Linked DNA regions of Oryzias latipes. The protein of the gene in region 2 purifies or fractionates together with the protein of the main gene of each other region. This does not show direct contact. Links are inferred from orthologs where the notes say so. Each region holds a gene or a part of one and is shown on either strand. Other genes may lie near its edges.

Region 1 (3,753 bases), on a different chromosome or scaffold from region 2:
TTCCGACCGAAAGTGTGACCTTAGTGAACGTTTTTATATTCTGAAAACATTTTTCTGGGCCCATCTACACGGTTGGATTCTAATCCGACCATTGATCCCATCAAGATATTTTGTACATGTAACCGCGGCTTATGGTGTCGACGCGCAACGTGGCGGGGGCGTGGCATCACGATGGTGGTCTCTCCATCGGGATGTCAGTCACCCATCACGATGGACGATGATATCGTCCATCGGCACAACCCTACCCCTAAGTGAGTTACAGCTGCTCATTTCTCTGTAGAAGTCTATGGAAATTTGGCTTCTTGGAGACAGCGGGAACTTCCTGTTTGGAACTCTACGGGAGAGGAGTCACTCAGTCCAGTTCTCATATACAGTCAACTGTCTAAACAGAGGGAATTGTAAGGAACTGGGTTGAAAAATATGAAGGGTGTCAGTTGGTCTGGACTGAGTCTGCTTAGTTTGGTCCAGATTGAGTCCTGAGCGTTGCATTGGGTCTGTAGTCAGACTGCCTTCAACCGGACATTTCTGTTTCCAACCAACCAAAGCTTGTAAAAAAAAAAACGTGTGACTAAAGATCTCTTCAGTCATTGGCCAGGAATTACGAGGGCAGTCAAAGACTAGTGCACTTTGCAATCCCATTGGTCCAGTGGAGGCTGGCTGTAGGGCGGCTAACGGCAAGAGTCACTGATAAGACTTTATGACATGCAGATGGTCGGGAAAACAGTGAGAAGCAACGTGCGTCACATTAAAAGTTGTTTTAATGAGCCTGCATTTATCCAATCACATTTCAATGAGTTGCTGTGTCTCATCGTCATGGTTACTTCCTTTTCCGTTTACATCCCATACGGAGCGGCTACGGTGGCCATTTTTGGTTCCGTTGTTCCACTCTGGGAACAGACTGTATTCAGACTGAAGAACCTTAGAGTACACCAAAGCTCAGTCCGATTGGAAACGAACTGAGAGACCACCTCCACAGATGGAACCAAGCGGTTCCTGGTCCCGCACCAGGGCCCACTTGGGTTTATTCAGACTGAAAATTTGTTCCAGATTGTCGGGGGAAACGAACTTCTGGTTCACTTTAAGAGAACCAACTGTGTGGAGTCTGAATCCACCCATAGACTGATACTATGGGGTAAGGAATGTGTCAAAAAGAAACGCATTTATGAAGACAAAGTTGTGCGGCTGGTTAGAATCTGGACCAATCAGCAGGCTGTTTGTTGGCACATATGTCACGCTAAACTGAGACTTATGAACGTTAAATCAAAGATAGGGAAACAGCGAAATGAGACGTGTTAAAACGCAAAATTTTTTTTTGAAAGCAGAAAAAAATTTAAGAACTATTTAAGCAACTATTTAATACCTTCACTTGCTACTTAAAAAGTTTTGTTTGCAATGTGTTGGCATAAATATCACTTCATTCTCAAAAAATACGGCAGGACATCGCCATTATAATCTGTTTTTTTTAAACAAAACTATGATAAAGATAATTTCCCTTCTAGAAGATCAATAACATTTCAGAAAGTTTAATTCTGTTTTTAGTTTAATAAACGAGGCTCAACGCGCATGCTCACTCAGTTGAATTGAATATCGGGACTCTGTGTATATGCCAATGACCACATGGCGTATATTTGATACTTTTTTAAAGAAAAAAACAACAACACAATGAACAAAGAAAACACCAAAAGCTGAACTGACAAACGCACCAAAACCATGAGCTCCCATGATGCACCTCGCCCGCTGATTGCTATGGCAGTGGGCGGAAACCGAGTCGTTACAGTAAGAATGCAAACAAATGTTTTACTCCTTACAGTCTTACAAAATAGAGCACACAGATAGCCGCCCGCCGCTTTACAACCGCGGAGTGATCCCGTCAACGAATCCAGTCTTCAGCCGCGTGCGACCGTCCCGTCCCGTGTCCGCTGTGCAAATAGTGCGAGTGTTTAGCTGGCAAACACAGCGACACGACAGGTTGCAGTAACCAGAAACACGCGTGGAACCGTGTCCGGAACTTTAACGCGCCCTGAGGCTCCCCCGGTGCCTCACGCGCTAAAAAAACCGGCTTCGGTGAAAGGATCAGCGAGAGCACGTGCTTCCCGGAGCAGCTCACCGTAAACACGACCGTTTAGGCGCGAAACCACCGCTTTCCAGTGGGTTCTTTACACACCCCGCTCATCTGCTGATAAATAATATGACACGTGGAAAACTATTACCCAAGAAAATAAGATGTAAAGGCAAGAACTTACCTGTTATCGCAGAGGAAATGTCCACGTGACAACACGCGCAAGCGCAGGCTGCCGTAAAGGTTGTCTCTGATGTCGCACAGGAGGTTGCCAGATCAGATCATTTCCCGACAAAACTACGCAGTAAAATCAGTAAAGGCAAACACAACCCGGACTAAACTTCCCCCCACATAAAAAAGCTAAACTAAGACTTTTTAATGGTAATTTACAAAATCAAGATAGATTTATTTTATAAAAATATATAAATCAATAAACTATTAGTTGTCGTCTCCTTTTGAGTGATTTGTTGTTTTTATCAGTCTCTTTTTAATCTTTTGCATTTTCTGTGTGTATTTTCTACACAATTGTTCGTGCGGTTCCTAGTAACTTGAGCTGTATTCATAACTTTTTTTGTGGTATTTGCATCATTTGTTATTTAAAAACACTTAAAAAATTATATTAACAAGAAACTTAGCAAATGCAATAGGAAACCTCTGCTGCTGAGTTACACTACGATTTTCCTCTGACTGCACAACCATGACCAGAAATCCAACTTGCATCTGGATCAGACTTCAGCATGTCATTTTCAGGTGTTTGACTGCTTTAAGGTCTGTCACTGCTTCTTTTCATTTGTGAAGTAGGACTAAACTCAGTTTAATCTTTAAAGTAGAATAATATTGGTTATATTGTGTGGGCTATGTGTGAAAACAAAGATTTCAAACTTGTATATCAGTAATTTTTTTCACAATAAGCCTCACAATAGCTAAAGACTGAAATCAACCCCATGTTCCTTTTGACCTTTAGTTGACTGTAAATGTAAATCAGCACAATAATTTGTGGTTATTTTTTTTTACCTTATTCCATAATTTTACACCTCCAGTTCAATATGTTCAATTTTTTTTTGTTTTAGGTGTTAATTGTTTCTGTAATATTGATAGTTATTTGGATGAATACTTTTTTATGTGTGAATAATATTTTAAAGTAATTCTAAAGTAATTTACTACAGCTCTTTCTAGTGACATCTGGTTAACCAACAAAACTCTTTAAGCATAATTTCTAGAAAAACATTTTTTTAAATTTAAAACAAAACATCAGTTTTGAGAAAAACAGCCTGAATTTGTTCATTTTGCCAACTGCAGATGTGTCCAGCCCAAAGAGTTCCAAAGAAGCGGAAACATGACCGATCTGGCAACCCTTGTCTTCTTTGTGTCATAAGCCGACCTGCCCCGTCCTTAAAGAGACAGACCACTCTGACTTCATCAAAAGTTTCGCCAGACAGACGCTGCTCCAATAGTGGAGATGTTTAAGTGTTTGTTGGCTTTTTAAAATTCTGCTGCGCGGGTAACTATGGCAACAGCTGGTCAGGGAGGAATGCTTTTGTTTTCCGAGAGTGTGTGTGTGAGAGAGAGAGAGGAAAGAGTGTGTGATTGTGTTTGTAACCAGTCGTTGATAGTCACATGCACAAACAGCTGAAGCAGGTGTGCTTTCAGAGGTGCAAGGCAGCTGTTGCCTGGAAGCCCAGGAGATCCCTCAC
Region 2 (3,753 bases):
GTAGATGCAGCAGAAAGGAGCAGGGGGGTTGCAGAGTGCAGTTATGAGCTTTTTTTTAAATGAAAAATGAAATTTAAAGCCTTATTTTCTTAATATTTGTCCTCCAGCATGAGGAAAAAATGCTACATGAACATGTTAAAAACACCGTTTTCATCTGAATGGGTCTTTAGAAAGATTTACTTTCGGGACAATCTGGATTTTTTCCGTCCAGCATCCTGCTCTGTTGTGTTAGCCCGCCCGTCTCTCGCACGGTAAAATGCCAGCAAGCAAAAAGAAGAGGGGCTCGTTCCCAAAAAACATGGAAGGGGTTTGGATTTTCAACTTCAGACTTGAAGCAACAATTTGCAGAATGCGTTAGCAGCTCCCTAAAGCACAAACTGGTTTCAGCAGCTGAGCCAGAGTCAAACGGTGCTGCTTTCTGTGAGACGATCAAGCAGCAGCAGCTCAAAAACACAACGTTTCAGAAGCCTTACAGTCTGTATTCAGTTGCAACTTGAATTGAGGTCCACTCCCAAAGGAAATGTCAAAATAAAAGCATTTCTGCTAGCTATATTCTGTCATTTGTCTTTTTTTTTTTTAAAGAAAGTAAAGAGAGGGGAAAGAAAAAAAATCAATGTAAATCTGAAATCATATTTAGTGTGAAAAAAACAGCAGAGATTTAATTTCCAGGCCATTACAGCCACAGTATGAACTATAAAGAATTAGGGTTAATATTTGAGTTTCTTTTAGTCATCTTCAGCGTTTCACTGACCATCAGTTTCAGCATCAATCAATCACCTGAAAGTTAATATTGATCCAAAAAAATCTGATTATTTTATATATGTGAGAAAATCCTTGCATTTCTGCAAAAATGATGGGAATAAAATAAGAAAAACATTTTAAATAAAGTTTCCCCGGCTGTGTGCGTCTGTTGTCCTTACCAGCTTCCTCCACATTGTACTCCTCTCCTTCGAAGTCGTTGTCTGAGTCTTCGTCGTCGGGGTCTGGATGTAACGCCTGGCACTCGCACATGGCTGAGAACATGGACTCCACTGCGTGGAAACAGACGCAAACATTTCTAATCTTCTACTTTTTATGGCAGACGGGCGGGATCAGGGGGGGGGGGCCGATCCGTGACGGCTACGCGATCTTGATCGGTTAGCCGTCACGGATCGGGTGGCCGTTACCGCTCACTCACATGAAGCTTTGTCTCTGGGAACAAATCGAATTTCTGTGATCACTTCCTCTTCGTCACCGTTGCTGCTGTCACTACCATCATCATCTTCTTCTTCTGCTGCTTTCTCTGTCATCTCAGCTTCACCCTCACCTACAAGAAAACGAACGGATGAAATTGTTGAATGAATGAAGAAAAACCAAAGCAGAAAACCCAGATCTGCTTTCAGGAGATTTGATTTGATTTGAAATGGTTTATTTCAAGCAATCAAATAAGCTTAGAGATGACTGAAGGTTTTCTTACCGCCTAGTTTTCCGTTGACCATGACGTAGAGATGCTCCTCGGGGTAGGCGCTGACATCCCTGGAGATGGCGTGCAGACTGATGGAGGGGTATTCCAGGGAGAAGCCCATCCCTGAGCCGTCGAACCACGACAGGCGCCTGAGACGGACAAAGACACAGATCAGAGGAGGCCGATTCCAACATTAAAAACCAGAAAAAGAGAATCAAGTCTGACGTCGAGTTAGCTGAAAGTGTTGCAGCGCCACGTAACCATAAAGATCTTTATTATAGGCTGCATTTTGACTCACTGACTCCTTTCTATTGAATTATTTATCCATTAACCTGAGAAATAAAATATATTCATTTAAAAATGCACTACCAAACAATAATGAATGATCAGAGGAGTTATGTTGAACCTCAAAGTACATCTTATTAAGATTTCCTGAGCAAATAATCAAGTTAAATTTAATTTCACTAAAAAAAGAAATAACAATAATCACAGGAATTAACTACAGGGACAAATCTAATCTATTATTTTTTATTCAAAGTTATTAAAATGAAAAGATTTAGTTAAACATAGTATTTACACTTCATGTATAGAGTCCATCCAGTGTTAACCTTTAAAATACAAAATTAATATGAAAAAACGGAAAGTTACTCTTTAAAGGTCTTGTGATCAGTTGAGACTAAAGTTAAAGACAAACAAATCAATGGGGATAAATCAATAAACCTATTTTAATTCAATACTTTGACAGCAGAAAATGAACCACGGAACTGTCACGTAAACATGACTTCGATTTAACGTTTTATTTTGAAAAGCAGGGCAATACCGGAAGCTCTTCCTGGGGTCTGAACTAGTGCTAACAAGCTGCAGTTTATCATCGAACATATTATGATGGATACATTTCGGGGTGAATGAAATGTGCATAAAGATTTGCCTCCAACGTGTAACGACCAAAACACGCGCGCCACGTGGATCACTTACGTTTCGGCGACGTACAACGTGCCACAGCCGAGCTGCTGCCCGCTCAGCACCGCAGTGGTGTTGGCTTCCTCGTGGCGCACTCCCTCGGTAGGAGGACGGAGGTTTCTCACCAGAACCATCGTCCGTTAGACCGTTAACGTGGGCCCGAACAGAACAGAACTGCTTTGGAACCCAAAAGGAAGAGCCGTGACCCACTTCCGGTAACAGAGCGGCTTAGTTTAACCGCAGTAAGCCTCGTTTCAGGACAAAACTCGAGTCACGACAAGGGAATTCTGGGGGGGGAAATTACAACAGAAAACGTAAAATCCGAAACAGCCAGACAGCGAGCGCTTGTTGATACTGAAATATCGCGGTTTCTTCCTTACGTCAACGAATCACGTGACCAGCGTGCCTCCTCAAGCCATCTGTGGCATATTTTTTACACTGCCCTCTAGTGGCTGTTTAGCTGATTACACCCATTCCGAACTTTTTTATTTTTAATTTTTTTAAACAGTGACGCCCCCCCCCCAAAAAGAAATATTTTCTTATTTAAAAAACACAAGCACAACCTTTTGACTATATAAATATATATACGTATATATACACAGTCAGGACCATAAATATTTGGACAGAGAGATATTATTTCTAATTTTGTTTCTGTACATTACCACGGTGAATTTTAAATAAAACAACTCAGATGTCATTGAAGTGCAGACTTTCAGCTTTTATTCCATGGGTTGAATAAAAAGATTGCATCAAAATGTGAAAAACTATCCTCTGTCACTAATCATTCAAAGAAGTCACGTTTTTTCTGAGAGAAAACCTTTTGTGGCCTTCGGTTCACCTAAAGAGCCAAATCCCAGTTTAAAGCCTGGGATTCCTTAGATTTCTAAGGTACCCTTTTTTTTAGCATTTCAAAAGATGATGATGAGATAAACAGGGTGGGGGGTCTCACACACTTACCAATTTATCAACTCAGATTTAAAAAAAAAAACTCAAATTTTGTAAATTATCTTTAATGTATTCTTTCTAATTGGTTTACTTTACACAGTCTAAACATTTCTAAGACTCTACAAGTCACATCAGCAACTTTTTAGCAAATAAAACTCAACAGACATCATGTGACTCAGTGTGACACGGCTGACAAATGAGATTTGAAAATGTTCCAGGTGTTCATATTTGAGCACAATGAAGGGTCATCGGTGAGTTTGACCCACAGAGACAGAGAGGAATCATGACCGGTTCTCACCTGTCAGAAGCTATCTGAAAGACGGACGATGATGTTCACACATGAAGAGGAATATTTATTGGTCAAAATCAAGAACATTTCATGCCTCTGACAAAAAGAAGAATAA

The links. Proteins that work in one complex are often made in the same cells at the same time.
Region 1: the proteins of clns1a (region 2) and gar1 purify together in Homo sapiens (affinity purification with mass spectrometry; 3 studies listed by BioGRID and IntAct, counting the BioPlex papers as one, with this or other methods). This does not show direct contact. The link is inferred for Oryzias latipes from reciprocal best matches to the Homo sapiens genes CLNS1A and GAR1.

What each region holds. Positions count from the first base shown.
Region 1 is NC_019868.2:3,864,223-3,867,975, forward strand, and holds the start of gar1 (H/ACA ribonucleoprotein complex subunit 1), read right to left. Parts: upstream 2,332-3,753; 5' UTR 2,244-2,331; intron 2,125-2,243; exon of another isoform or gene 2,108-2,124; intron 1-2,107. UniProt on the Homo sapiens protein: Required for ribosome biogenesis and telomere maintenance. Part of the H/ACA small nucleolar ribonucleoprotein (H/ACA snoRNP) complex, which catalyzes pseudouridylation of rRNA.
Region 2 is NC_019871.2:4,488,213-4,491,965, reverse strand, and holds the start of clns1a (methylosome subunit pICln), read right to left. Parts: upstream 2,807-3,753; 5' UTR 2,539-2,806; coding exon 2,420-2,538; intron 1,594-2,419; coding exon 1,457-1,593; intron 1,307-1,456; coding exon 1,178-1,306; intron 1,032-1,177; coding exon 921-1,031; intron 1-920. UniProt on the Homo sapiens protein: Involved in both the assembly of spliceosomal snRNPs and the methylation of Sm proteins.